Linked DNA regions of Kluyveromyces lactis. The protein of the gene in region 2 interacts with the protein of the main gene of each other region in a biochemical or structural test. Links are inferred from orthologs where the notes say so. Each region holds a gene or a part of one and is shown on either strand. Other genes may lie near its edges.

What was found.
Region 1: the proteins of EAF1 (region 2) and EPL1 are reported together in a solved structure, tested with the Saccharomyces cerevisiae proteins (2 studies listed by BioGRID, with this or other methods). The link is inferred for Kluyveromyces lactis from reciprocal best matches to the Saccharomyces cerevisiae genes EAF1 and EPL1.
Region 3: the proteins of EAF1 (region 2) and TRA1 are reported together in a solved structure, tested with the Saccharomyces cerevisiae proteins (2 studies listed by BioGRID, with this or other methods). The link is inferred for Kluyveromyces lactis from reciprocal best matches to the Saccharomyces cerevisiae genes EAF1 and TRA1.

The regions. Positions count from the first base shown.
Region 1 is NC_006042.1:2,337,832-2,341,973, forward strand, and holds EPL1 (Epl1p), read right to left. Parts: upstream 2,801-4,142; coding exon 380-2,800; downstream 1-379. Other genes in the region: BST1 (Bst1p), read right to left, coding at 1-50; BUD27 (prefoldin-like protein), read left to right, coding at 3,555-4,142.
Region 2 is NC_006041.1:1,912,888-1,917,048, reverse strand, and holds the start of EAF1 (Eaf1p), read right to left. Parts: upstream 2,801-4,161; coding exon 1-2,800. Other genes in the region: protein-transporting protein BCP1, read right to left, coding at 3,300-4,118. UniProt on the Saccharomyces cerevisiae protein: Component of the NuA4 histone acetyltransferase complex which is involved in transcriptional activation of selected genes principally by acetylation of nucleosomal histone H4 and H2A. The NuA4 complex is also involved in DNA repair.
Region 3 is NC_006042.1:2,059,528-2,063,464, reverse strand, and holds the start of TRA1 (histone acetyltransferase TRA1), read left to right. Parts: upstream 1-1,137; coding exon 1,138-3,937. UniProt on the Saccharomyces cerevisiae protein: Essential scaffold subunit of the transcription coactivator SAGA complex. SAGA acts as a general cofactor required for essentially all RNA polymerase II transcription.

The sequences.
Region 1 (4,142 bases), on a different chromosome or scaffold from region 2:
GGATACCTGATGCGAACAGCAGACTCAGCCGGTAAGTCAATTTGGACCATTTTAACAACTGGCTTGGTAAACCACTACCAGTATCCTAGGTATTATTCTAAATTTAGTGTTCCTAGTGAATGCACTATTCTGGGCATAGTTCATCAATCAATGCTTGCAATGGTACATAATGTTAGATGCAAGATGCCGATTTTAGATGCGTAAACCAAAAAAAAAAGAAGCTGAAGTCAGTTCAGTCACGTGATGTATAATGCAGCTCACGATGCTTAATAACATGAATTATCTATATTGTTACAGATTCGCATAAGAATGCGGAAAATACTAATTACAAGTTCATATTTATAATGGGATTTGGTGTCATCAAAAGTTTACAATTTCGTTATGCAGCAGCGTTAGGAGTAACGTGTTTCTTTGGCGGACTGGACTGATTTGGAGTTGATCCTGGATTCTTCCTAGTGTCCTGATGAGATGGTGGGGAAGAGGACTGTGAATGAGGAGCATTGTTAATGGGCTGTTGACCCTTTTGTAGCATTTGCTGTTGTTGCAGGGAATTCAGTTTCTTTCTTTTGTTGATTTGTTCCTGTCTATATTTGATGGTGGCATCTCTTAGTTGCTCGTATGCTTTGGATCCTAACATGGTTCCAAATCTTACCACCTGAGTATCGTTTGAAATTTGGTTCAACTTCGCCGGTTCGTCGGAAAACTTGGACCCGTAAATGTTGTAATTGGAATCATATTTCCAGTGATAATATGACCTGGATAAATCATCCAGTTTAGAATCATACACATTTATAACATCATTATCGAGTTCTTGCTTCTGTATTCCATCCAAATCAATAAATTGTAATAACATGTCGTTAATATTGTGATCAGTTTTTCTTTGGTCAATATATTCCATATTGAAACGACCGCGACGGCGTCTGAAAGCGATTGGAAATTCACGAGAATGAGTATGAATCTCGTTATCAAATGGATTGAAAAATTCTAACTTTTTATACTCATTGTTCTCCACAGCTTCACCTTCCTTGTTAAAAACCTTTATATCATTCGCAGTGCCAGTGATATAATTTTGAAGATTAGGTGAATAGTAGGATGTTTTTACTTCGAACTTTGAGCCAGCAACAGAAGAAAATGGAGCATCTTGGGGGCTGACGTTATCTGGTATTGAAAGGTTGAAAACAGGATTGTAAGGATCATCAGTGAGGTTGAAAAAGATGTCACCATCTTCCTGTTTCCTTTTTCTCATCCTGTCTTCAACAAATTTCCTTGTGCTTTTTTCCTTTGAATGCAACAATTTACCGACATCTTCTAACACGATATCAGGTATCTTAGAGTTAGGCAATTTAACATATACTTGAGAAGATGCCTGTTTTTGCTGTTGTTGTACATTCGAGACATTGGCAACAGGCGACTGAGCTCCAATTTCCTGCGCAGATGACAGTGATTGTTCTTTGTTTTTATTTGAACCAGTTTTTGGGCCTTTCTTCTTTGGCTCGCTTCCTTTCTCATCAGCATATAGACCACTGTCTTCTTTGTGAAGTTTCGACGATTTTGAAGATTTTGCACGTTTAACAGATGAATCTGAAGTAATGGCTGCCTGCTGCTGTTGTAGTTGCTGTTGTTGCTGCTGTTGTATCTGTAGCTGTTTTTGAAGAAGAAGTTGTTGTTGTTGTTTGATTGTACGCACCGAACTCACGAGTTTTTGTTTCTTTGCCGAGTACAAATCCTCGTTATCGGCATCTATGCCTAACTTTCTCTTCATTGTCTTCAATTGGGCTCGCGCTTGGAAGACGAACTTTTCGTTTTCTAGGACTTCTAATACTGCTCTTTCTCTTTTGGCTACAGTGAGTGCCAAATCTTTAGTATATTCCAATTGTTGGCATAGAAGTCGCAATTTTTGTGAGTTCTGAACATCTATCCGCCTTGTTTTCCTAGGTTGTCGAAGCTCTCTCCTACGGAAACACACATATGGATCATTATCGTCTTTATCATTATTACGCTCCGATTTCAATTGTGGGAAGATATCGCAACCATGACGTGATATCTTGCGTTGCTTCCAATGATCGTGTATTTTCTCTCCGAACAATTCGATAAGAGTCTCCATATTTTTTTCCCTTTTACCTAGAGGTCTTTTATTGTCAAACATTGTCAAGAATGGTTCATCTTCAGGCATCCCAATTTCCTTCGCGAGTTCCTTTTTTACGCCAGAATCACCAACATCGTTTTTCAACATGGTTGGTTTTAGGTCTGCAAATGAAAGTATACTCTCGGGATCCATGGACAGGAAGGGTTGCCTATCTTTGATGGAAGACTCAAAGTTGGCCATAATTAATTCAAACTCATCTTCCGTTAGAGGTTCGACCGAATCCGCCAGGGATTTATTTAAATCTGCCAAAAAGATTTCGTCTTCTTCATCCATATTATACAAAGTACCACAGCAATCTTCTAATTGTGCAGAAAACTGGATATAACTCGTAGGACATTTGAATTCACCTTGGTAAAATCTGTCAAACTCGTCCCAAGTTTTCGAGGCGTCTGGTGTTGGAATAAATAGATCCTTCTTGTTCTCTCGAAGCTGATTGGATTGAAGAATTTTGTATAAATGCTCTTCCTTTTCTTCATTCTTCTCCACACCAGTTTCAATCTCCATCAGCTCTCGCTGTTGATGCTGGGAACTGATGGCCGAAACATCTTCTTGTTCCAAATCCTTAATTTCATGGCTCTTATAGATCCGAAGTCGTTGCTTCACGCTGATCTTTCTGTGCCTGAACCTCGATGAATCCACTGCAGGAGCTGGCATACTGCAATGTGTCAATGCCCGTGTGTAGTTACCCTGATAGCTATGCGGCTGAAGCCAAAGAAGGATCTTTGAATTCCAGATTTCAATAGCGAGAAATATGAAAGGAAGGGTAACTACAATTATCCCTCTAAAAAATTGGTTCTTTTACGGGGGCCCAAATTTATTTTCTTCCTGTTTTCGGGGCCAAATTTTGCGAAAAACTTCACTGGCAAGCAATCGGGTGGCGGTGAAGGAGGCAGAAAACAAGGAGACCAAATCTAAAATAGGACTGAAGATAGCAGCTATTGGTACGGATTTTGCAGAACTGATGAAAGTCCTTAAGTATCACTACTGATGGTTGATTCTCAGTAGGTTTGAACGAGCCACCGGACTGTTCTGAAGCGCGTGGTTTTCCTTTTTATGTTGGTTGTTTGGGTGGAACGCAACAGTTTGTCCGGTGAATGGGGGTATTGGTTTTTTCTATATTGAAATCCGAACTTATGGAAAGAAAAAAAAATTTTTTACGTCTTCTACGGAAATATGAACGTCTCCCATAACCACCTTGGTAGACAATAGGAATTTCTGTTCACGTGACTTCCATTGGGTCAAGGTAAATGGTGATGCCAAAAATTGTATGAGCTTCTACCAAAAAGAAAAAAAAACGGAAATCAGTAACTTGACATCCGTAATGAAGTCATCTCATCGCTTGTTGAAAGAGTGAGTTATCTGAGGCAGGTAAAGAGGCTGAGAAAATCAGTCTTAGTCGTGAAACGCAATGGAAACAGCAGAAGGTGGGGCTTCTTTTGCCGAGTTAATGGATACTGTCAAAGGTACCATAGATAATTTGGTAAACAAAAGAACCTTCTTAAAGGAACAGCAGCCGTTGTATGAACAGATATTCGATAGGATAAGAGATGCTGACACGAGCGAAGATTCGGAAGAAGAATGGCAGTATGGTGAGGTAGTATTTCAGAATGGTAAGTTTTTCCAAAATATAGGTTACGATTACTATTTGGAGAAATCTAGGGAAGAATGCCTGGTTTTTATAAAGGTTCGATTGAACTTAATTGCCGAAGCCATTTCACAATTTGATGAGAAACTGAAAGAGGCACATGGCACATTGCGAAACATGGAGTTACTTCGAGACGGTGCAAAATCTTTGGGAGATACGAATGTTTCTAACAATGATGATGACCAGGAAGGTTTCTTTGAGATCAGAGAAGAATTAGACGAAGACGGAAATGTGATACATGCTTCAATGACGCCCGCCAATAAGGTGCATTCGGGCAAAGGTAATGAAGTCCATAGTGATGAACAACAATTGTCACTGAGTCAGGAACGTCAAAATTGTCTTTCACCAGAG
Region 2 (4,161 bases):
CAATGATTTCACGTTTATTAGCCGGTTTCGTATTTCTCTGTGTGGGAGTTTGAGTTGTAACCTTTTCTTTTTCACCTAGTGGTGGTGCACTCTGGGGAGTGGACTGCTTAGACCTAATTCTTGAATCCTTTGAGTTAGGATTATTTGCCATAGGCAAATTCGGACTTGATGCTGTAGTGAGAGGAAGCTTTCCTTGCTGCAATTGAGCCATCTGCATCCTTTGTTTGGCAGCACGTTTTATTTGCATATCCCTTCTCAAGGCCTCATCACGCTGAGCTTTTAAGTCTGACATTTCTTGAGGGGTTGGAACACTCATATTCTTAACATCAAAAGGTTTACGCGGCTGCGAAGGATTTGGTCTGGGTGCGTTTTCTCTTTTTTTAATGCACTTTCTCATTGCCTCAAACATACTTGCCCAGCGTAAACGCCTATGTCCTCGTTGTATGGATTCCGATCCCACACCAAGGGGAGATATTCTCCTTTTTTGCTGCTGCTGTAATTTATGAGCTTCGTACAACCATATTTGTGCATTATGAGCCTTTGGACCCTTCATATCTGCAATGTTGAACTTTTCGTTTAGTTGAACGAACCGCTCAAAGCATTGCCAAGGGGTTCTACGTTCGATGTTTGAAACATATTCTCTTTTGTGATGATTGGACATCTGAGAACTAATGAGGTCCCAGTTATAGGCATACTGGTTTATATTTTTGACAAGCTCCTGATCATCTTCAGGTAACCAGATGGTGGGTGTACGAAATTTCAAATAGCGTAATGATGGCGCATTAGGAGGGCGAAGATAATGGCTACGTCTATTTCCATAAAACATACCACGTCGTTTTGATAAAGGAACTAGAGATGGTTCTTCGTCAACAAATTGCTTTTCTACTAATTTCATGAAATGGTCCTCGTCAAGAGGAGAAATTGCCTTTGAAACCGGTTCAAAGGGCAATGGTCTGCTAGAATCGAGATTCTTTTCGTCCAAAAGACCATACAAAGGGAGTGAGTTTGAAATGGCTGCTCCCAGTGTTGATAATTCCTTTATATCAATGTAATTCCTGAAGGGAGAGGATGATTTCTTAGCTAAATAAACTTCCATGGAGGTAACCGGAAGAGATGGAGCGACGATTTCATCTTTGGGGTTAACTCTCTTTAGTAACTTTTGTATGTCTATGGTAGGCTCTTCAGATGAGTTTTTATCAGTTTCCTTGTCCCCCTCTTTGATACCATTTTCAGACTTCTCTTCCACCGCTTCACTCCCATCAGTTAAACCGGTACTTGATTTTACACCATCCTCTGACATCTCCACATCTTCAGCAATTTTAGAAGACCCATCATCGTTGGATTGATCAGGACTTGTGTTTGATTCTTTATCTTTTTGTTCTGGCTCAACTGTACTGATTTTTGTTCCCATATCTTGGGAGGAAGCAATATCTTCTATGTCCTTTGATGGCGGTGGAATACTTTTACAATTGATACAGCATACTTTACCATAAGTCCAAAATTCCATAACTGCCTGTGCCATTTGAGTGCACATGGCTATCTTATAATTCAACGATTCACGGAAGTCTTCACGCATCCATTTTGCTTCTTCAATCAACACATTATGATGAGTTACAGGTTGTGAAGCGGTAACGGGATCGATAAATTTTCTTGGTTGTCTAAGTGACCAGAGATTCAGCCTTCTCAATTCCTCTATCCTTGATGCTACTACAGTGATTCGTCTTTCATTCAATGCAGTATTAATCAGATCAGTCGTCAATGCTTTTTGAGATTGTGGTATCAATCTCAGCAAGGGCAAAGTCTGGGATAAGTATTTGATTTCTTGAATGGGCATACCCTTTGCCAACTTGGTTGGCGCGTTCTCTTTCGTAATCATGTATACCGCCTCTTTCACATTTATGTCATCTTCGAAAAACGTCTTACGCTCTTCCTTTGATACATTGTTGATAATAGATTCTATAATATAGGGTTGAGGTTCTTTCACCCCAATTGGTGTTGGGTCAGCATGCAATTGTGAGATGTCTATCATCTGAGAATAAGGATGAGGCGGAATTTCCATTGTTGCAGCGTTACGTGCAGCGGTAGAATTAGATAGGTTTCCACTATCAAGCCGTTGCCTTTTACTTATTTGATTTTCGGAAATATCTTGTTGTTCCTCATCTAACAAACGCTTTCCAGAAGTACTTGGCTTTGATTGGGTCTCCGGATATTGGACAGATTTCGGTTCCATATGTGCCTGAACTACCACAGGAGGAACATTATTATGTGTTATCGGCAGCTTCTGTGTGGGAGACACCGATCGCTGCTTTTGCAGTTGTTGCTGCTGCAGCTGTCGAGATGACTGCGCTTGCACCATAGATTGCCTTGAACTTTGCTGAATTGACTGCTGTGACTGAACTCGTGGAACTACCCTTGTTTGAGACTGCGGGAGTGTCTGCGTATCCACATCATGTTCCTCGCTTCCACTTGGCGACACGTCTTTCGACCGCTGTTTCTTCAATTCTCGTTTCACTTCTGACGGTGAAGAACTCTTACTCCTGTTATTCAGCTTCCTATCTGACGACACGTCTCTCGGCCTAAACTTAGGCAATGCATTAATATCTATAGGCTTGTCCTTGATCAAGGTATGTTGATCTAAAAACTTTTCTATCTCCTTCCCTATTCTCTCATGATTCTCCACGTTTTTTAACTCGGTAATTTGTGAGATACAGTACAATTGTACTAGCAAGTGCCGTCTCTCCTCTAAGAGCTGCTCTGGGCTCTTACTTCCAGTAGCATTCCCTTTGCTTGCACTGCTCATCGCCTTGAAATCCTTACTTTCTATTAGATGTTCTGTGAATATCTGTCACGTTGAAAAAATATAACTTTCGGTCTGAATGGCAAGTGATAGGAAAATATCCAAAAAAAAAAAAAGGAAACTGGGTCCTCTGATTTTTCTTTTAGCGAGGGCTTGTCTCGGAAACAGCACGCTTCTGTACAAACAACAGGATCGTCCAACCAAACAAGGCTTTTCTGTGTCAGGTACTTTTGAAACTGAGTCGAATAGTGTTCTCACGGTCCTGTTCTGTTACCGTATTACGGCTTGTTTTCTCGATTTCTACTATATAAGTACGTATTTCATGTTGTTCAGCAATTTTTTTGTTCCTTGAAAGATTTTTTTTTCTTTTGGGAGGCCGAAATCATGTAAGGAGGGTAACTAAAGATCAGGTCACGTGCGTTAATTGTTGGGTTCCCAGAACGGGATTAATCCACATACCATCATCACCTTCCTCAATGTAACTACTGAACATTTACATCACTCACCAGGTCTTGATGGCCGCATCTAGATCTTCGATGGATTTAATTAGTCCAGCATGGTCCAAAACCATGTACGATGTAATAAGACCCTTTCTCGCCTCGGAATCCACATGGACTTTGGCTAGCTTTTCAAGGAAACGATCTTCTTCATGGAAATAGTCTACTTCGTTTGTTTGTCTTACCTTCTTGCGGACAGCTTGGTTCGATGTTAGATCGTCTTCGTCCATATCAAAATTCACTTCGTACTTCCTTGAAACGATTAGGTAGAAATCATAGTTTTTATCATCCCCAAGCGCAAGCTTCACATCTTCTAATGTGATAGTGTACAATGGCGGCACAACTTCTGGTGGCATATTAATCAATCTTTCACTCAAGACTAACGAACAAGTCTTCTCCGATTGATCTATAGTTTGTAGGAAAGTAGCTAGCTTGGGGTCAACTTTACGAAGATATTTGGCATAATCACTATCTTTGTTGGCCTTGTAATCGATAAATGATAGGAAACAGTATGGGTCAGACTCCTTACCATCGGTTTTGATGGTAGTAGTTGGTGAGTCCAAGATTAAATTTGCCAATTCACTTAGTTGAATTCTGTTCGATTCCTGTGGTCCAAACAACTGACGCATCAGATTCTTCAAAGCATGGAAATCAACGTCGGGATTACCATTGAAGAAATCAAAATCGATGTTGATGATTTCTTGTTCCTCTTGACCGTTTTCTTGGTCTGAAATATTTGAGTCTGTACTTGATATGTCAAGATCAGATTCCTCATCGACTGCACGTTTCTTGGATAATGCACTTAATTTAACAACCTGGACCATTGCAGACTAAAATAGAGTGTTGTTGCTGGTTTAATAAAGCCCA
Region 3 (3,937 bases), on a different chromosome or scaffold from region 2:
CCATTTGGTACGGGATTCTTTACCAAATGTGATGCAAAAAGTGATGGAAAAGGATATTTTTTCTACATGATGATCTGTGAATTTCACGCCACACTCTGAGCCTTGGTTGAAAAAACATGAATGCAAGGCGTACTTCTGGTTTTACAGGCTTTCGAAATGGAGATGAAGAAGAACAAAACAACGTAGTAGAGCTACTTTCAGCGCCTTTTCAAGGATAGAGTTAAATTCTTGAAGGAATTTGTAAGGTACAATGTAAAACAATCTATCACCTGGTTATCAGGGAAGCGCTACAAAATTGTCGAATCTTAATTAGAGCTGTACGGTGCTGGCCGAATGAACCCTTTTTTGAGAACCGTATGTAGATCTTTGTGAACTGTGAATTTATGCACACAGATTACGTCACACAGTCCAATCAATAGAAGCAGTTAATGGTTCCAGTAATAGCTAAAGGGGGGGTATTGCCTCATTTTTCGAGTTGGTAAGTAAAAACGATATTCGTTTAAGTTAGCCGCCTTGAATTTAATCGACGATTATGTTGTACTTGTTTTAATAAGATGTTGTCCGTGAAAAACACGAGTTATCGTGAGCGCTACTTACCCTTCGCCATTGTTCTATCTTTCGACACTCAAAAAATTATGCACATTGGCTGTCCGCTTATCTGCTAGAGTAACGTTCACATTTCGTGCGTATTTTTCTGTTGATGATGGCAAAGAATAAAACAAATACGTAATTTTCAATGAAAAATTAATAGCCGGGTAAGTTATTCGGATCATGCACGTGATCACTTCCTAAATAGGAATGTCATCACGTGATACAAAACTTTTCAAGGTCTACAGAGGTTTTTCAAATTGTTTTTCTTGGTACCAATTGTTTTCAAATTTCGATATGACATTGAAATCTGTACTCTCAACCAACAAAAGCGTAGTATTGATTTCAAACGAATACACGAACTTCAACCACCAAAGCAATTATAGCGCCTTATCACTAGACAACAGGTTCTATCAGCTAGCTTCGCATTTTTGTTCTTTTATTTCAACTTGCATCCTCCCTAATTCATTAATTTCAAAGGAAGACGCGGTCTGCAATTTGATTCTTTATTCAATATAGCTGAGCTGCAACGATTGTAACTTATAAGCAATGGAATCAACTGATACTCATGAGAGAATGGACACTTTTGTCGAAAGAATCAGGGATACTGAAGATGTTGCTGAAAGACATGCCATTATATCAGAACTTTACGATGTTTTGGATGTTGTAACTTCTTCAGTCGAATACGATGAGTTTTTGAAGAAGTTGTTGCCGCTCATTTTATCACAGTTGAATGATGATCAAATCTCAATGAATGCCTCATCTCCTGAACACAAGTTGAGAAATACATGTCTAGAACTTTTGAATAGATGTCCACTTAACGATAAAATGGAACCTATGGCCATGGAAGTGCTGCAATGCCTGTTAAAAATATTAACCTTAGAAAACGATGAAAATGGTGTCTTGTGTATGAAGATCCTCACTTCGTTGTTCAAATGCTATAAGCAGCCATTAGAAAGTGAAGTGAATACGTTCATTAAAATTATCGTTGGAATATATGAAAACGTACCGAACTTGGTGGCATCTACTTTCCTTGGTGAAGAAGAAACCAGCTCATCAACTGCAGATTCACAAGATTTTTCGAACTCTAATAATGAGGAGGATGCTTTCGAAAACTTGTCTGCACCGTCCAAGAAACATTTGGAAAAAGCTACAGAATCATTCAAGACTTTGTCTGAATGCCCAATTACAATGGTGACCTTATTTTCATCATATAAACATTTGATTTTAGTAGACTTACCGACTTTTTTACCACTCGTCATTGACTTACTCACTTTGGAAGTGAAACAACAGCAAAAATCCAGAGAAGAACTAGAAGCTAAAGGTGAAAAACTTATTGGGATGTCGTCAGAAATCAAAAACCGCTCTGCATTCTGTGATTATGTCCTAGCTCAAATCAAGGCAACTTCTTTCTTAGCGTATGTGTTTATTCGCGGTTATGCTACAGATATTTTGAAACTACACGTCAAGAAAGTCCCAGATTTGGTGATGAGATTATTACAGGACTGCCCAAGTGAATTATCATCTGCACGTAAAGAATTATTACATGCTACGAGACATATTCTCTCTACAAGTTATAAGAAATTGTTTCTACCCAAGATCAATTTGATGTTTGACCAAAAAGTCTTGATTGGTGATGGATTCACTTCATATGAAACCTTGAGACCATTAGCGTACAGTACCCTTGCAGATTTCATTCATAATATTCGGTCAGATTTGGCAATGGCTGACATAGAAAAAACTGTTAAAATGTACACCAGTTTTCTTTTGGATGAGTCTTTGGCTTTGACTGTGCAAATTATGAGTGCTAAGCTACTATTGAATTTAATAGAACGGATTTTAACTTTAGGTAAGAAAGACGCATATGAAGTTCCTAAGGCCAAAAAGCTACTAATGACGATTATAGAGGCTTATACTTCAAGATTCAAGCTATTAAATTCACAGCATAAGAAGATATTAAAACAACATAATGTCTACGAACAGAGTAAAAATAAGAAATCTAAGGAGATCCAAGATCAACTTGCGAAAGACAGGCACGATGTTGATGAATATATGGTTAACATCTTGAAATCAACAGACGAATTGTTACCGTCATCAGTTACTGTTGATACCAATGCCGACGTCGATGGTGATATTACTATGAGCGAAGAACCTGATATATCAGAGAAAGGTAACAGTTCGGTGCATAGTGATAATAACACATCACTGACTGTAAAGAATCAAGATAAAAATTCGGATATATCGTTCAAAGAAAACTCAGTTGAGATATTGGACTTCAATGATATACAAAATCATGCTCCAATAATTCTCTTCCAAGCGACGTCAAATGATCCTCTTAAGGACGCATTTTACTTATATCGTACTCTTCTTTCATTTCTGAAAACCATTATTCATGACTTGAAGGTTTTTAACCCACCCCCAGATGAATATACTACAATGAATCCGAAAATGTGGTCTGCATTATCAAGAGTATTTTCCTACGAAGAGGTGATCGTGTTGAAGAATTTGTTCCATGAATGTATAGCTGGTCTACATCTATTTTCTTCTAATCCAGAGGGCATTGATCCATCCACAGTAAAAGCACACTTCGATATAACTACACCTAGCTTACCTGTGTCAGCAACTAAAGATGGTCGAGAGTTGATGGATTATTTCGCTATTATTTTCATGCAAATCGACAGTCCTGTCTTCAATGAAATCGTTGAGAGTGAAATCGTCTTTATCTACGAATCTTTACTACGCGATTCAGCTTTGTTGCATGTTGCTCAATCATTCTTGACAAGTGAAATCACATCTCCCAATTTCACCGGTATTCTTCTAAAGTTCTTGAATTCCAAACTTCCAGAACTAGGGAATGTGGACAGTAACAAATCAAATATACTCATCAGACTATTCAAGCTATCATTCATGTCTGTCAATCTCTTCCCTATTACCAATGAGGCGGTCTTGTTACCTCACTTGAATAATTTGATTTTAGATTCTTTGAAGTATTCGACAGAGGCTGAAGAGCCTTTGGTGTATTTCTATTTGATAAGAACATTGTTCAGAAGTATTGGTGGCGGCAGATTTGAAAACTTGTATCGTTCAATAAAACCAATACTTCAAACTCTTCTACAGTCCCTCAATAAGATGATCCAGACAGCTTGTCGCCCTCACGAACGCGATTTGTATGTGGAGCTCTGTCTCACTGTGCCTGTGAGGCTTAGTGTATTGGCACCATATTTGAATTATCTAATGAAGCCATTAGTGTATGCCTTGGTTGGATTTCCAGAATTGATAACTCAAGGATTAAGGACTTTGGAGTTATGTATCGACAATCTAACTCCAGAGTATCTAGACCCGATTTTGG